2 linked regions of the Saccharomyces cerevisiae S288C genome follow. The protein of the gene in region 1 purifies or fractionates together with the protein of each later gene. This does not show direct contact. Each region holds a gene or a part of one and is shown in the gene's direction. Other genes may lie near its edges.

What was found. The genes of interacting proteins can lie anywhere in the genome.
Region 2: the proteins of AAN1 (region 1) and IBD2 purify together in Saccharomyces cerevisiae (affinity purification with mass spectrometry, with the first as the bait; 2 studies listed by BioGRID). This does not show direct contact.

What each region holds. Positions count from the first base shown.
Region 1 is NC_001143.9:288,423-296,370, reverse strand, and holds AAN1 (Aan1p), read left to right. Parts: upstream 1-2,062; coding exon 2,063-3,415; downstream 3,416-7,948. Other genes in the region: MUD2 (Mud2p), read left to right, coding at 178-1,761; PSG1 (Psg1p), read right to left, coding at 3,740-4,918; DHR2 (RNA helicase), read right to left, coding at 5,319-7,526; SMY1 (Smy1p), read right to left, coding at 7,798-7,948.
Region 2 is NC_001146.8:322,902-330,839, reverse strand, and holds IBD2 (Ibd2p), read left to right. Parts: upstream 1-4,519; coding exon 4,520-5,575; downstream 5,576-7,938. Other genes in the region: YNL162W-A (uncharacterized protein), read right to left, coding at 293-511; GTPase RIA1, read left to right, coding at 767-4,099; YNL165W (uncharacterized protein), read right to left, coding at 5,788-7,008; BNI5 (Bni5p), read left to right, coding at 7,275-7,938. UniProt on the Saccharomyces cerevisiae protein: Part of a checkpoint which monitors spindle integrity and prevents premature exit from mitosis. This cell-cycle arrest depends upon inhibition of the G-protein TEM1 by the BFA1/BUB2 complex.

The sequences.
Region 1 (7,948 bases):
AATATTACGCTGTAGAATGGATCACTTTTATAACAGCGTGTTCGATATTATATATTTGAGGCGCGCGCCTAATTAGCAAGTGCTGAAAAAATTCGAGATGAGAAATTAAACTGTACATGCTAATATAAAAGAAGTAGAAAAGGAAAGTTAATTGACACAGAAAACAAGCACACGGAGATGGCTGATGAAAAGAGACTGGAGGATTTGAGATCCAAAATAATGGAGTCTATAGGAAAATCAGAAAAGGATGTTGTGCCGATTGAGAACAAAAGATTCAACACGGATAATGCAGTTATAGATACACATTTTAAGAGGCAAAAAAGTGACGGTGAGCTTCCGAAAGCGCCAAAAAGTAGAAACGTTTCACATTCTAATAACAGAGGACCATCGTCAATAATTACTATGAGCACGAATCGAACGACTTATGAACAAACAAGGGCAGGTCCTCATCGTCAAAGTTATCGGGATGCATCGGGAAGATCATATAACAGGGAGAATCGGTATAGTAGTCACAATACTGGGCCCCAATGGAACAACAATCCCTATAATAGGCAACGGGATGAAAGAAGAGGAAGAAATGAAAGGTTCGATAGAAGGGGAAGAAATGGAAACGGAAACTACGATCGTTTCAATTACCAAAGGAAGAACGAAGGTTCTAAATTCAATGGCGACCGTGATAAAAGGCAGTTGCAAACTAATAAATATGACATGAACTATAATTCCCAAAATGTAATGTACCCGGGTTCATCATTCGATTCTCCGGCTTACTACAACATGGCCTCATCCAAGGCAAATTCAAGGCTTGTAATTTCGGGCTTGTCTCAAAGCAGCGACCCCAGCATTGTAGCAAGATTGAAAGATTTGCTGGAAAATTTTATTTCAGGTCTCCAGAAAACTGAGAGTAATGCGGAGGACTTTAAAATTTCCAACTTTTATATTGGTGAAGGAAGGCCGGACCATATTATTGTTGAGTTTAGTTCTCAGATCTGTAGCACTATGGTTTTGGCCTGTCGATCATTCTTTAATGCGAAGCTTGGTACTTTCGACTTAAAATGGAGAAGACCTAATGATTATGTTCAACAACTTGATCATCTGGTCGATTTTTGCAGGGGTACGGTAATTGCATTGGAAAATTTGGAAAATATAGGCGAGGGTGAAGATTATAGAATGAAAGAGCTTTTTTCGTCATTGAATGTAACAAACGGTACCGCTAAGCCACTTTTTTACAAATGTTCGTCCAATACAAACAACACTGGCAAAGAATCCGAATTCACTAAATGTATTCTATTATCGTTTGAAGTCGTCACTCAGGATATTCTTGATAAATTAAAACCATACAAATGGTTCAAGCCAAATGATGGAAAGATATCACAAGTTACTTCATGGATTACGTTTCAAAGCCTGCCAAATCTGGTTACCCAATCTGTTCGTGTTGAATCGAGAGTTTTGTTGCTCTTAAATTGTCTTGATCCATTGGATTTGAAAGATGAAACCTTTATCACAGAAATTAAAGAAACATTAAAGTATAGTATCGCGGGAGCAGATACGATTAAAATATGCCAACCCGGCGTCGATTACAGACTTAATTTTGAAAACTTGGCTTCCGGAGCCGGTAATATTTATATCAAGTTCAAGACCTTGGAGGCAGCAAAACACGCAATGGAAGAATTGCCGGGTACGCAATTCAACGATCGCACTGTTCTGTGTACTTATATAGATGAGGACGACTTTGACATGATGGAAGCAACCCAACTTTCCTAAATGGTCTATTTTGTAGAGCGAAATTAAGTAAAGAATTGAGTATTCATTATGTAGATCTAATCTTTAACGCAGTGAAAAAAGTCCTCGTTTTTGGTGACTTTTTTTGTACAATTACTTTTTTGAAATATAACGAAAGTTAGCAGATTGACTACTAACTTGCGATCTGGAAAATTAAGAGAATTCAAACTTTTTTTGTTGCATGGGTCAATAATCATCATTAGAGCTTGCCTTGATCAATTTCCTTCACATTTTTGGAATAACTAACATTATAAATCAAGCCTAGTATAGCGCGCCAAAGAAGATGGCTAAAGATTTATTGCCCAAGCAAGCGGCCAACGAGCCATCGTTAAAGGACTGTACCTGTAAAAGATGTCTTAAATTGGGTGCTTCAAAAGAAAAAAAGATTAGAAGAAAGAAGAAAGGTGAGGAGAAAAGAGAAAGACATTATGGAAATAGACGAAAGTTAACATTCAACTTTTTGAAGCATACGAACATGGAAAATACAAATTACGACGTAATCACTTCGGTTGGATATCTGAATGAAAAATACGGATTGAAAAAATCACATTACATTGAAAAATTTATCAAATGCATCCATAGAAAAATAAATATCGATGTTAGCAAAATTACGGACGCCTATGTAAACTCGCTAAACCCGTGGGTTAAAGTAAAACTCTTCCTTTTATTGGTGACATTGTCTGAAAAGGGTGGTCCGGAATACTGGCTAGATAAGACAGATGGTGAAAAGAACTCAGAGGCGTCTTCAACAGATAATAGTTTGGAAAATTCTACTAAAGGAGCAGATAGCGCTGGATCTACTGCTTTGAGAGATGAAATGGTCAAAAGCCATAAAAACCTTTTCCCAACTCTTACAGAGCAAATCATACAGCATAACATCAACCAAGATTTTACGGAATCGACTTACGACGAGGATTATGTATTTTCGTCAATTTGGGCAAACTTCATGGAAGGACTGATCAATCACTATTTGGAAAAAGTCATTGTACCTTACTCGGAAATGAAAGTCTGTCAGCAATTATACAAGCCTATGATGAAAATTATCTCCCTCTATAACGAATACAATGAGCTTATGGTCAAAAGCGAAAAGAACGGATTCTTGCCTTCTCTACAAGACTCCGAAAATGTCCAAGGTGATAAAGGCGAAAAAGAGAGCAAGGATGATGCCGTTAGCCAAGAAAGACTGGAAAGAGCGCAAAAGCTGTTATGGCAAGCTCGAGAAGATATTCCAAAAACAATTAGCAAAGAATTAACGTTGTTATCAGAAATGTATTCTACATTATCTGCTGATGAGCAAGATTACGAATTAGATGAATTTGTTTGTTGCGCAGAGGAGTACATTGAATTGGAATACCTACCTGCCCTTGTAGATGTCTTGTTTGCTAATTGTGGCACGAACAACTTCTGGAAAATTATGTTGGTGTTGGAACCCTTTTTCTACTACATTGAAGACGTCGGCGGAGATGATGATGAAGATGAAGATAATGTGGACAATAGCGAGGGCGACGAAGAAAGCTTACTTAGCAGGAATGTGGAAGGAGATGATAATGTGGTTGAGCGTCATTTTAAGCCTGATCCAAGGGTCATTACACTGGAAAAAATATGTGAAGTTGCTGCAAGACAGAAATGGATATAAGGAGAAATCAAAGGAAAAGAAGCAAGATCCAGCGTTTTCTTTTGAACCCTGGAGGATGCTGATGCATTCTCTATTTATTTGGTATCAAATTGTCGTACAGATGATTTATATATGTTAATATTGTTCAGTTTACACTAATTTTAATTTACCGTATTTACTATCCAAAGGAGAAAAAAAGAAGTATATGGACTTCAGTATTTATACAATATCGAGTTAAGATAAGTTAAGTAACAAAAAAAACTGGATAGAGTGGTTTTCTATTAGTGTGACGGAAGATAAAAACAGCCCTCTCGAGGAAGGGTGAATGCATACTTCGAAGGGAATCTAATTTTGTTTACTGGTTTTCTTATAAGATGGCAATTCGGTGTACTTGTGATTTTTCATGTTTTTGAATTTCTTCATCTCCGAGAACTTACCCAAAACACGGCGTTTCTTGTTTAAAGCTTTTCTAGTAACATCTGTGAAATCTCTGTTTTTCCCGTTGACATATAAGAAAAAGTACATGAAGACGAAAAATACCACCACGACAGTAGGGATAGATAATGCAACATAATACCACTGATCATTTGTTATACCTGCATCGTCTAAAGCCAGTTGCTCCTTAGTAGGCTTAAACACTTTTGAACCCTTAGTGATGTATAATAAAATACCGTATTGTAGTGGATCGAAATCTTCATCTGATATGTATATTGGCTGAACTGATACAACGATCCTACGATCAAATTGGTCCTGCAGCCATTCATCTCTGACCTCAACCGGCATTAGACCGTTGTCATTATCAATCCATTCGGAAGAGAAAAAAGTTGCAGGGATATCTCTTTTATAATTGCCCTTCTCTACGGGGTTTTCTTTAACATAGGACAAATGAACACGAACCTTATCAGCAACTTTACCGGAATTCTCATCTGTAAAAAATCTTGTATACCAAGTAACGAAGTAAGTCTTGTCAACCTTCCATCTAGAATTCTCATAAGGGGTACAAAATGGCTCACTGCGGATATCCTTTGCTAGACCTTTATTGAAGTAAAGATTAGGAGTACATCTGACAATAGGATTCAGGGAGACGTAGGTGTCATCTTCATCAATATACTCTTCTTCTACAAAAACTTCATTAGGGCCCATATTGTGAGCCTTCAATTCTTCATAAGAATATGTGTGGGAACTTACCGTTTTGAAGTAAGTTGAGTAATCAGGTCTTCCCTTCTTGGTTCGACCTTTGTTGATTTCTGGTTTAATGGTTTTTGGCCTACCATCATGCTCTAAAGATACCCAAGGTTTCAATGGATTTGGTGTTTCTTCTGGTTTTTCAGAAAAAGTGACACCGGCAATGACCGTAGGAGTGACTAATTCTTTTTGACTTCCATAAACCGTACGTAACCAAGGTTTAACTTCTTCTGAAGTAGTCATTTTCTCCTTTGGACGAACGACTTGTCTTGCACCATGAACATGTTGATAAAGCGATGCCAAAGAAAAGAAGATAAGTATACTATCGTGAAATCTCATTATTCCGCAATTCCTTCAGATCCCGCAGAACTGCTTCCGACTATATTGTCTTAACCTTTTTGCTAAAATATTTTGTTCTTCAAAAGTAAAGAATAGCTTGCTGAGAGAAATGCGTCGAATTGCCTTTCTTATTTTTTTCATGATCTTTTATTCCTTTTCAAAATGTCAACGGCAAAATAATATAATTTCGCCCTTTTCCCGAGATAATTTCACAAAAAAAGCCAACGAACAATTCGAAAGGCGTTTAACATGAATATACATATATACCTGTGTATATTCATAAGATATTGAGAAATGAATCCATGAAACTCATACTGCAGTAGTTGTTACGATTTATAATGCTCTATAAATTACATTAAATGCCTTTATATACAATAAAAATGCGCTAAGAGTAGGTGACTTATTTTGAATCAGAAACTTTTTGCTTTGCTACAGCGGCTGCATTAGTGACAACTTCTTGTAACCATGAAAGTTCAATCCTACTAACATTTCTGGCATATCCCTTCGTAGTAAAGACATACTCCGTGTACATTATACCGGGGCAGCTTTTATTCATAAATAGCATAGATGATGGATGAATGCTTATCGGCTCTCCAGTGGAAACAGTTCTATAAGACCTGTCTGGCATCCCTATAGCTGTATTCTTGATAAACCCAGTTAAGAAACACTTTAAAATTTTCGAAATTAGCTCGCCATCTTCACCAATCTTTTTGGATTCTTCATCCTCTTCACTGATTGAAGAAAACAAACGCTTACAATAAACTCTTAACTGGTCTCTGACACGAATTACATTTTTAAACCCACGTATCGAAATACACAATCCTTTACACCAATCATTTCTTTCAGAGCTTGCATCTTGACTTTTCCCTAGTTCGTAGAAATAGATATCAAAAAGCTCTTTCAGCATGATAAGGTCACCATACCTTTTACCAGCGTTGCATAAGGACAAACGACGCTCGTTCACCTCATCTCTTTCTTCTGGTGACGGATTCAACAGTAAATTTTCCACACTAAGGCAAGAGACGATATCAATGACCTGACTCAAACATCCGACTTCACTGGCTTTAATTAAGACACTACTTAAATGCGGTTGTAGCGGTAACAGAGCCATTTGTTGACCCCGTTTAGTTATCTTTCCACGAGTGTCAAGAGCACCCAATTCATAAAGTTCCTGAAGCCCCATTACTATAGCTTCCTTTCCAGGGTTCTCAAACCAGGTCCAGTTTAGCAGGTCATCAACACCATATCTCTTCAACATTAACACAGGAGATGTGACGTCACTTCTGGCTATTTCAGGTTCACTTTGTTTAGGTAATTTCACATAATCAGACTCACAATAAAGCCTGAAACTCTTTCCTTCACTTTCTCTACCAGCACGACCACTTCTCTGCATCGCACTTGCCTGAGAAATGGGTACGGTAAGTAGAGTGGCTAATCCCAGCTGATGTCTCCAAACTTTGACTTTTCGAAGACCAGAATCAACGACAAATTTAACACCGGATATGGTAACAGATGTTTCTGCAATATTGGTACTAAAGACGACTTTTCTCTTGAAACCCTTTATCGGAGCGAAGACCAAGGACTGTTGGACCGCGGGAAGAGCTGCATATAAAGGATAAGGAACTATTAATGGTACTGGGGCCTCATCTGAAACATACTTTGCAATTTTCTCCATTATAGTCACTGCTTTGTCAATCTCTTCTTGGCCCGGTAAAAAACATAAGATATCTCCCAGTTCTTCACCTTGGTTTATTTGTATACAACACCTGATGACAGCGTCTACTATATCATCTGTTGGCGCCTTCAAGTAGTATTGTTTGACATCAAATTTTCTTCCTTCTACAAATAAGATTGGGGCATTATTGAAGAACTCACTAAATTTTTCGGCTTGCAATGTTGCAGACATAACAATTATTCTCAAATCAGGTCTTGGCCCTTGTATCAAGGATTTTAAGAACCCCAATATCAAATCTGTAAGCACAGTTCTTTCATGCGCTTCATCGATAACGATGACGCTGTATTCTCTAAGGTCACTATTCATCATAAGTTCTCTAAGTAACATACCGTCAGTCAGATACTTAAGTCTTGTTCTTGTAGTAGTCGTATTGTCAAATCTGACAGAATAACCTACTTGTTCACCCAGTTTGCAACCATGTTCTTGAGCAACACGTGTAGCCAAATTGATGGCCGCAACACGACGGGGTTGAGTTACAGCAATCGACCCATGCTTCTTCGTATCATATAATTTTTCTAATACGAATTGCGGAATTTGTGTTGATTTACCAGAACCTGTTTCACCAATAAGGACGGTAACGGGATTGCTTTCAATATATGACATTATTTCTCGCTTGTGTTGGTAAACGGGAAGTGTTTCTCTCATTTTGAGTAAATCGCTTGCCCGACTTTTCAAAGATTTATAAGTAAGGACATTTTCCTTGTTCGAACGTTGGTCTGAAACATGGTCGCCCTCGCCTGAATCATTAAACTTTACGATTTTACTAGCTCTTTTAATCCGAGTGTTATTCGTGAATGGATGTATATTCCTCCTAACCTTTTGTTTTTTAGAAGTATGGTTTGATGCAACTCTACTATTGCTATTTGCTGCCATGATAATGTCTGCAGACTCTTGCAACCTCTTCTTGAGGAATTCTTACATATATATCATAACCTCATCTCATCTCATCGAGCAGAATTTTTTATTTTCAATTTTTCTCATTTTTCCAAATCATTGTAAACGAATAGCCGCCGAAGAAAAACGGTAGAAGAAAAGTACATCTTTCAGTCAGCATTATACGTACAAATTATTAGCGTTATCATCATGATTATAATTACAAAGATACTACACAGTTGTATCGTACAATTATCGAACTTAATTATAGTCAGCTTCCAGAAGAGGGACTTTTTGGAGTACTCGAAGTGACTTTTATCGAATGGAGGTTTAATCCCTTCTTGAACGGTCTTGCCACAAAAGACTCCTGTGATCCAGTGGTTGCTATACTGCTAGAAGAAACCTTTCTCGCGCCCCATACT
Region 2 (7,938 bases), on another chromosome or scaffold:
GTCTATATTGGTGATGAATAATTGACAAGTTTTAATGCCAAAGCTAGACAAGTTATTACACACTTTTTAGTTTTCCTTGTACGAACTTTTTTGGGTTTCACATAGAAAGTAGATTATTCGTAAAAACCGGATACTTGATCTTCACTCTTTGAGACCTTTAATTATGTCGCTTCTTTTATGTTAATTTCAACTATCATGTTATTGCTCTTTATATTGTTATCGCTCATATTTGACTCTGCAATGGCGTTACTAGGGATAATGAAAGATAATGAACAGCAATAGTGCAACTATTTTATGGTTTGCTTCGTGAAGATAATCTTTTTTTTGCAACTTTTAAGACGTCATTATCGTCTACATACGTTAGATTTTCGAGTACTTCTCTTTGATTGAATGGGTAGCCGCAGACTAAGCTGGGACATATTATAATGGCATAATTTTGCTGTACTAAACACTTTTGAAGTCTTTCATTGCAATTTGGACAAAATACTTGGGAGTCGGGCTTATCAGACATCTTTTAATGACGTGTTCGTTTGTATGTAGTTTTGGTATACTGGATATTCGATATATTGTAAAGTGGAATTTTCAGCTCATCGCTTCCTTTTTCTTTTTCCTACGAGAAAAGAAATTTTGAAAAATGGGAACTTAAGAGCCAAGAATATTGATAGATAGGTGCACCCGAAATACAATCTTTGTACATCATCAAGATTATCAAAATAGTTTATAAAATAACCAAACTCAGTTATTTTTCTAAGCACGATAAGCAAATATGCCTAGAGTGGAATCGGAGACTTACAAACGTCTGCAAAATGACCCTTCCTGTATAAGAAATATATGTATTGTTGCTCATGTTGATCACGGTAAAACTTCACTTTCAGATTCTCTTTTGGCTTCGAATGGTATTATATCACAAAGGCTTGCCGGCAAAATTCGATTCTTAGATGCCAGGCCTGACGAACAACTACGTGGTATCACAATGGAATCATCGGCTATCTCTTTATATTTTAGGGTATTGCGTAAACAAGAAGGTTCCGATGAGCCTCTTGTAAGCGAGCATCTAGTAAACTTAATTGATTCCCCAGGTCACATTGATTTTTCAAGTGAGGTCAGTGCAGCTTCAAGACTATGTGATGGTGCTGTCGTACTGGTTGATGTCGTAGAGGGGGTATGCTCGCAAACCGTCACAGTGTTGAGACAATGTTGGACGGAGAAGCTGAAGCCCATTTTAGTATTGAATAAGATTGATAGATTGATCACAGAACTACAACTAACTCCCCAAGAAGCTTATATTCACTTGTCCAAAGTCATTGAACAAGTCAACTCAGTTATCGGGTCCTTTTTCGCAAACGAGAGACAATTGGATGATTTATTTTGGAGGGAGCAATTAGAAAAGAACGAAAACGCGGAATATATTGAAAAGGATGATTCGGGTATTTACTTTAACCCTACTGATAACAACGTTATTTTTGCTTCCGCAATTGATGGTTGGGGTTTCAACATCGGTCAATTGGCCAAATTTTACGAACAAAAATTAGGCGCTAAAAGGGAAAACCTACAGAAAGTTTTATGGGGTGATTTCTATATGGATCCCAAGACAAAAAAAATTATTAACAATAAAGGCCTTAAGGGAAGATCCCTGAAACCCCTTTTCACATCGCTAATCCTCGAAAATATATGGAAAATTTATCAAAACATAATCACATCGAGAGATTCTGAAATGGTCGAAAAAATAGCAAAAACTTTAAATATTAAGCTACTTGCACGTGATCTAAGGTCGAAGGACGATAAACAATTGTTAAGAACTATCATGGGTCAATGGCTACCCGTCAGCACAGCAGTATTGTTAACAGTTATTGAAAAATTACCTTCACCTTTGGAATCACAAACCGATCGTTTGAACACTATTTTGGTCTCCGAATCCGACACAGCAGCCATGGATCCAAGACTTCTGAAAGCCATGAAGACATGTGATAAAGAAGGACCAGTTAGTGCATACGTATCTAAGATGCTTTCAATTCCTAGAGAAGAATTACCTGTTGAATCTAAGAGGATAGCATCTTCGGATGAGCTGATGGAGAGAAGTAGAAAGGCACGTGAGGAAGCACTTAATGCTGCAAAACATGCTGGTATGGTAGAAAATATGGCAATGATGGATTTGAATGACAATTCTAAAAATACATCAGATTTATATAAAAGAGCAAAAGATACCGTTATGACCCCCGAAGTAGGAGAACAGACAAAGCCAAAACCTTCAAGAAATAATGATGTTTTCTGTGTTGTTTCAGAGCCTTCTTCCGCCTTGGATTTAGAATTTGAATATGAGGGGGAGGATGATTCAGATAGTCAAGATAACTTCGGCCTAGATTTTGTACCAACTGACATAGATCCAAATGACCCTCTAAGTTCAATGTTTGAATATGAGGAAGAAGATCCACTTTTGGAGAGTATTAAGCAAATTTCAGAGGATGTGAACGATGAAGTAGATGATATTTTTGACGAAAAGGAAGAATGCTTGGTAGCATTTGCAAGAATATACAGTGGCACACTAAGAGTTGGTCAGGAGATTTCGGTATTGGGTCCAAAATATGATCCAAAATGTCCAGAGGAGCATATTGAAACTGCGATTATTACGCATTTATATTTGTTTATGGGTAAGGAATTGGTTCCTTTGGACGTTTGTCCATCAGGAAATATAGTCGGTATTCGTGGTCTGGCCGGTAAAGTTTTAAAGAGTGGTACGTTGATAGAGAAGGGCGTACAAGGCGTCAATCTAGCGGGCGTCAATTTCCATTTTACGCCAATCGTTCGTGTTGCTGTGGAGCCAGCCAATCCTGTGGAAATGAGCAAGTTGGTACGAGGATTAAAGTTGTTGGATCAAGCAGATCCTTGCGTGCACACATACGTTGAAAATACTGGTGAACACATTCTGTGTACGGCCGGTGAATTACATTTAGAAAGATGCCTAAAAGATTTAACAGAGAGATTTGCAGGAATAGAAATTACACATTCTGAACCGGCTATTCCATATAGGGAAACATTTTTATCAGCCTCAGATATGAATCCACCGCAGAATTCACAGCTGGGAAGGGGTGTTCATGAACTACTATTGAGCCAGTACAAGATTACATTCAGAACGTTCCCATTAAGCGGTAAAGTTACAGACTTTTTATCTCAACATCAAAATAGCATTAAAAACATTTTGAAGACGTCCACTTCAAGCATGGATCCCGTCATAGAATCAACTGGAAGTTCTTTTCTAGACAAAAAGTCTTTACTCGTTGCTTTTGAAGAGGTCATAAATCAGGAGGAGAAGAGCAGAGAACTATTAAGTGGGTTTAAAGTAAAGTTAGCAGGTTTTGGGCCAAGTAGAGTTGGGTGCAACATTTTGCTGTCGCAGGATAATCTTCTTGGAAGCCTATTTGAAGGTACTCCAGCAGCCTTTGAGTATTCAGATTCCATCAAAAATGGCTTCCAACTGGCTGTTAGCGAAGGACCTCTGGCAAATGAGCCCGTACAGGGAATGTGTGTTCTTGTTGAAAGCGTACATAAGATGTCACAAGACGAAATTGAATCTATTGAAGATCCGCGCTACCAACAACATATTGTGGACTTATCAGGGAGGTTGATAACTTCTACAAGGGACGCTATACATGAGGCCTTTTTAGACTGGTCCCCAAGAATTATGTGGGCAATTTACTCATGTGATATTCAAACCTCTGTCGATGTACTTGGAAAAGTGTATGCCGTTATTCTACAGAGGCATGGTAAAATCATTTCTGAAGAAATGAAAGAAGGTACACCGTTTTTTCAAATTGAGGCACATGTGCCCGTTGTGGAAGCATTCGGTTTAAGTGAAGATATTCGTAAACGAACATCTGGTGCAGCACAACCTCAATTGGTATTTTCCGGATTCGAGTGTATCGATTTAGATCCATTTTGGGTCCCAACCACAGAAGAAGAATTGGAGGAACTAGGTGATACAGCAGATAGAGAGAATATTGCCCGTAAGCATATGAATGCCATCAGAAGAAGGAAAGGTCTATTCATTGAAGAAAAAGTTGTCGAAAATGCCGAAAAACAACGTACTTTGAAAAAGAATTAAGGTTTTTTAGGGTTTATATGAATCATAGACTAATATAGATAGTTTTCACTAGTTGAAAATATATATAAATATATGTATGTATGTATGTATATTCACTTGAATATGAGATGAAATAGCACAGTTTTCAAGCATTTCCAGTCTTACGTATTCTATGATATACTACATACTCTCGCGCGAGTGAATGTTTTAGCGATGGGACAAGAAAGTTGAGATGATCTGGACGATGAGAATGGCAAAATAAGCGAGAGCTACAGCAAGAACTACAGATTGCACTTTTTGCATATACCCTGAATAGGAATTTCTTTGCTAAATATTTGGTAATTTGTTATCCATATTTACTGATATCGTGCTTCTTACGACGAATTTATAGCTTTAATCATATTCTCTTCTCTTCTATTTTCATGCCATATCATCAAGAAAATGACACCTACAAACCAATCTAGTGGAACGACTAATGCATCTGTGGAGGTACTTTCAGAGGATGGACCTATGCCAATAAACGTTATGATGCAAGAAGGTGTGAAAGCGCTGACTAAAATTCTTTCCAATCAGCTTCAAGACAGACAAGCTTTTCAAAACGCTCCTCATGCAATGCAATTCGTTATAAGAAATGGAGGAAAAGCTTTATCAAATGCACGGTTAGAAGAGCTCAAAGATGCTCTTCCTAAGATGGACTCGTTGAGTTTGGAAGATGAACTTGCGAAAATAGATGGCCAAAGTGCATACCACATTGATTCCGCAGAGGAAAAGGAAACCTTTGAAAGTAAAATAGGCCAAATAGCTTCTAGAAATAGTGCAGACTTCATAATAGAGGAGGACTTGCAAAATATTTTAGATGATGATCTTAAAGACTCAGAACTTAACTTGGATGGCGAAGAAGCCGAAATAATTTTCGATTATGAGAGCCAAGAACTGGATACACCGGATGGTATAGGGGAAAAGATTTCTCAAATGATAGAATCGGTGTTACCGGGAGGGTTTGGAAGTGAAGAACAGGGGGGGTTGCGAACTGTAACAAATGTAGAGGATTTAGATGTTGCAGAAGAAGTCACAGATATCGATCATGATACCGTTGACGCAGCTCGTTTGCATGGAGACGGTCAACATTCCATATCTTCTAGAAAGCACAGCAGGTCAAAGAACTCGAAAAAGAATGGGCATGTAAGGCGACATGACTTTTATGACGAATCTAGAGACCATAAAAGTTGTTGCCCGCATCATCATTATGAAAACTTATCCAAACTACGAAACTACTATTATCATGATTTTGAATATATTTCCAGAACGGAAAACCGTGTTCCAGATTTCTCTGTCCTAGTTAACGAATCAAGTCCCATGTGTTTATTTTGCGAGTACTACATGGTGTTTGGTGAACCACCACGTAACATGATAAAGTGGTATAATCGTACGTTTGGTTACAATCGTATGCCGAATCCACCAAGAGATGAACAAGATAGTAGGAAAAGGAATAGATAGTCAACATTATTACTGTAGGAATAAAGTAGTATAGGGAACATTACATAATAGAGGAAAACTTGTGAGGAAAACTTGTGACATTCTAAACGTATTTAAGAGTTATTGAAAAATTAATGGTGTACGACAATATTTCTCTTTGAATATTTATATGCTTCTTAGCGGTATTATGACTAAATAGTAACAGGAAAAAACACAAGTAAATGCAAATGGGTTTACATCAGTAATCCTGCCGGTCCATTTAGCATATATGTGGTCGAGCTGCCCCATGCGGTGTGGCGTTTCTCCTTTCTTGATTCATATTCATGTAATAGCATGCACATGCAAGTAAGTATCTGACTATCCCACGGCACATTTTCAATGATATTAGAGCCCATTTCAGTATAATTGGTAGATGTTAAACTAGAGCCATCATCAAACGAATCAGTTTCTTGTAAGTACAAGGTAGCTACTCTCAAAGTTCTTTTTTTCGGTATGACACTAACTTTATCATCTGTGTATCTGGCCCATACTGGGAGATAACCCAGCGGTCTTGTGGGACGGGAACGGCTGTAAGAATCAAACTCTTCAATAGTTTGTTGGTTCATGTAGGATGCCATCGTATCATCGAGTACAAGTAGGTTGATGCTATTTGAGCCAAAAGGTGAAGCTAAACTAGTTGTCCCGTACCAACGAAGATTTAATCCATGAATTGCCGTATCCGCATTTTTCCTTTGATTGTAATTAATCATGGGGATATGAACATCAGGTTCATCTTTTCTATGAAATATAAAATCGTGCTCTACCCTGCTCGAAAAATTATGGCTTTCCATTTTTTTTAGAATAGTGCAGAATTCATATTTATATATGGAGACATTTTCGTTTATTCGAGAGACCACTTCTGAGTTTAATGGAGGTTTATCGCATTGGGAGTCTATCATAACGTATTTATATATCCTCATTACCGGTGTATTTTGATCACTGAAAAGCGACTTGACCAGGTTTAAAGAAATGGCGTGAAATAGGGGAAGTCCTAGACCCCTCTTTGGATCAATGTTATCGAGCTTCCTCTTGTTGTGTAAAAATAGCTGGAGAGATTCTTCACTGGGGAATGCAAAAAACCCTCGTTGTAGTAGCACCGAAACGAATGGCATGGCTCTTTCTGACGTGAATCTTGGGGCTCTGTTAACATAACCCTGTCTTTGTAGGTCTCCAATTGTTGAGCCTTCTGATACCGCTGTATTCAAAGTAGCTGCATCCGCACTATCATCGCCCTCGTTGGCAGAGGTTTCCAGAGATTCATTTTCTCGTGCAAATATTGTAGATTGGTCGTCTCCATAACCATTAGCTCCCAAGAGATTGACGGTGGATGGAGACCCACTGTGAGGATACGGAGGATGTTGGCGATTATGTCGGCGTCCCCGGCGATTTCCAATCAAAGAGCGTACTCTATCCATGCGGATCTTTGGCAAATGTATGTAGCACTTCTCCTATCGTTCAATTTGATGCTCTTTCTTTTCCAAAAGCCTTACTTGTTCTTCTTCTTCACTAGTAGTGAAGGGCTTTAGAGATGCCCAGAACCCAGACCATTTTAGACGCGTTATGAAATAAATATTGCGCTGAAAATTCAAACTTCATAATAAACAAAAATCATTAATAGTTTTGTAATTTGATTTACTGTTATGGTGATGCTATGTTAGTGTGAAATAGAACAACAGAAACGATGGGCTTGGACCAGGACAAGATAAAGAAGAGGCTTTCTCAAATAGAGATAGATATCAACCAGATGAACCAGATGATTGACGAAAATTTACAATTAGTTGAACCTGCGGAGGACGAAGCTGTCGAAGATAATGTCAAGGATACGGGTGTGGTCGACGCTGTAAAGGTGGCAGAAACGGCTCTTTTTAGTGGCAATGATGGAGCGGATAGTAACCCAGGAGATTCAGCTCAGGTTGAAGAGCACAAAACCGCACAGGTCCATATTCCCACTGAGAATGAAGCGAATAAGAGTACGGATGACCCATCCCAGCTATCGGTTACTCAACCTTTTATAGCGAAAGAGCAGATAACTCACACCGCCATTGCTATTGGTGACTCCTATAATTCATTTGTCGCAAATTCCGCTGGAAATGAAAAGGCAAAGGACTCCTGCACTGAGAACAAAGAAGATGGTACAGTCAATATAGATCAAAACAGGGGTGAAGCTGATGTTGAAATTATCGAAAATAATGATGATGAATGGGAGGATGAAAAATCGGATGTTGAAGAGGGGCGAGTAGATAAGGGAACAGAGGAAAACAGTGAGATTGAATCTTTCAAATCACCCATGCCCCAGAATAACACCTTGGGCGGTGAGAACAAGTTAGACGCTGAACTTGTATTAG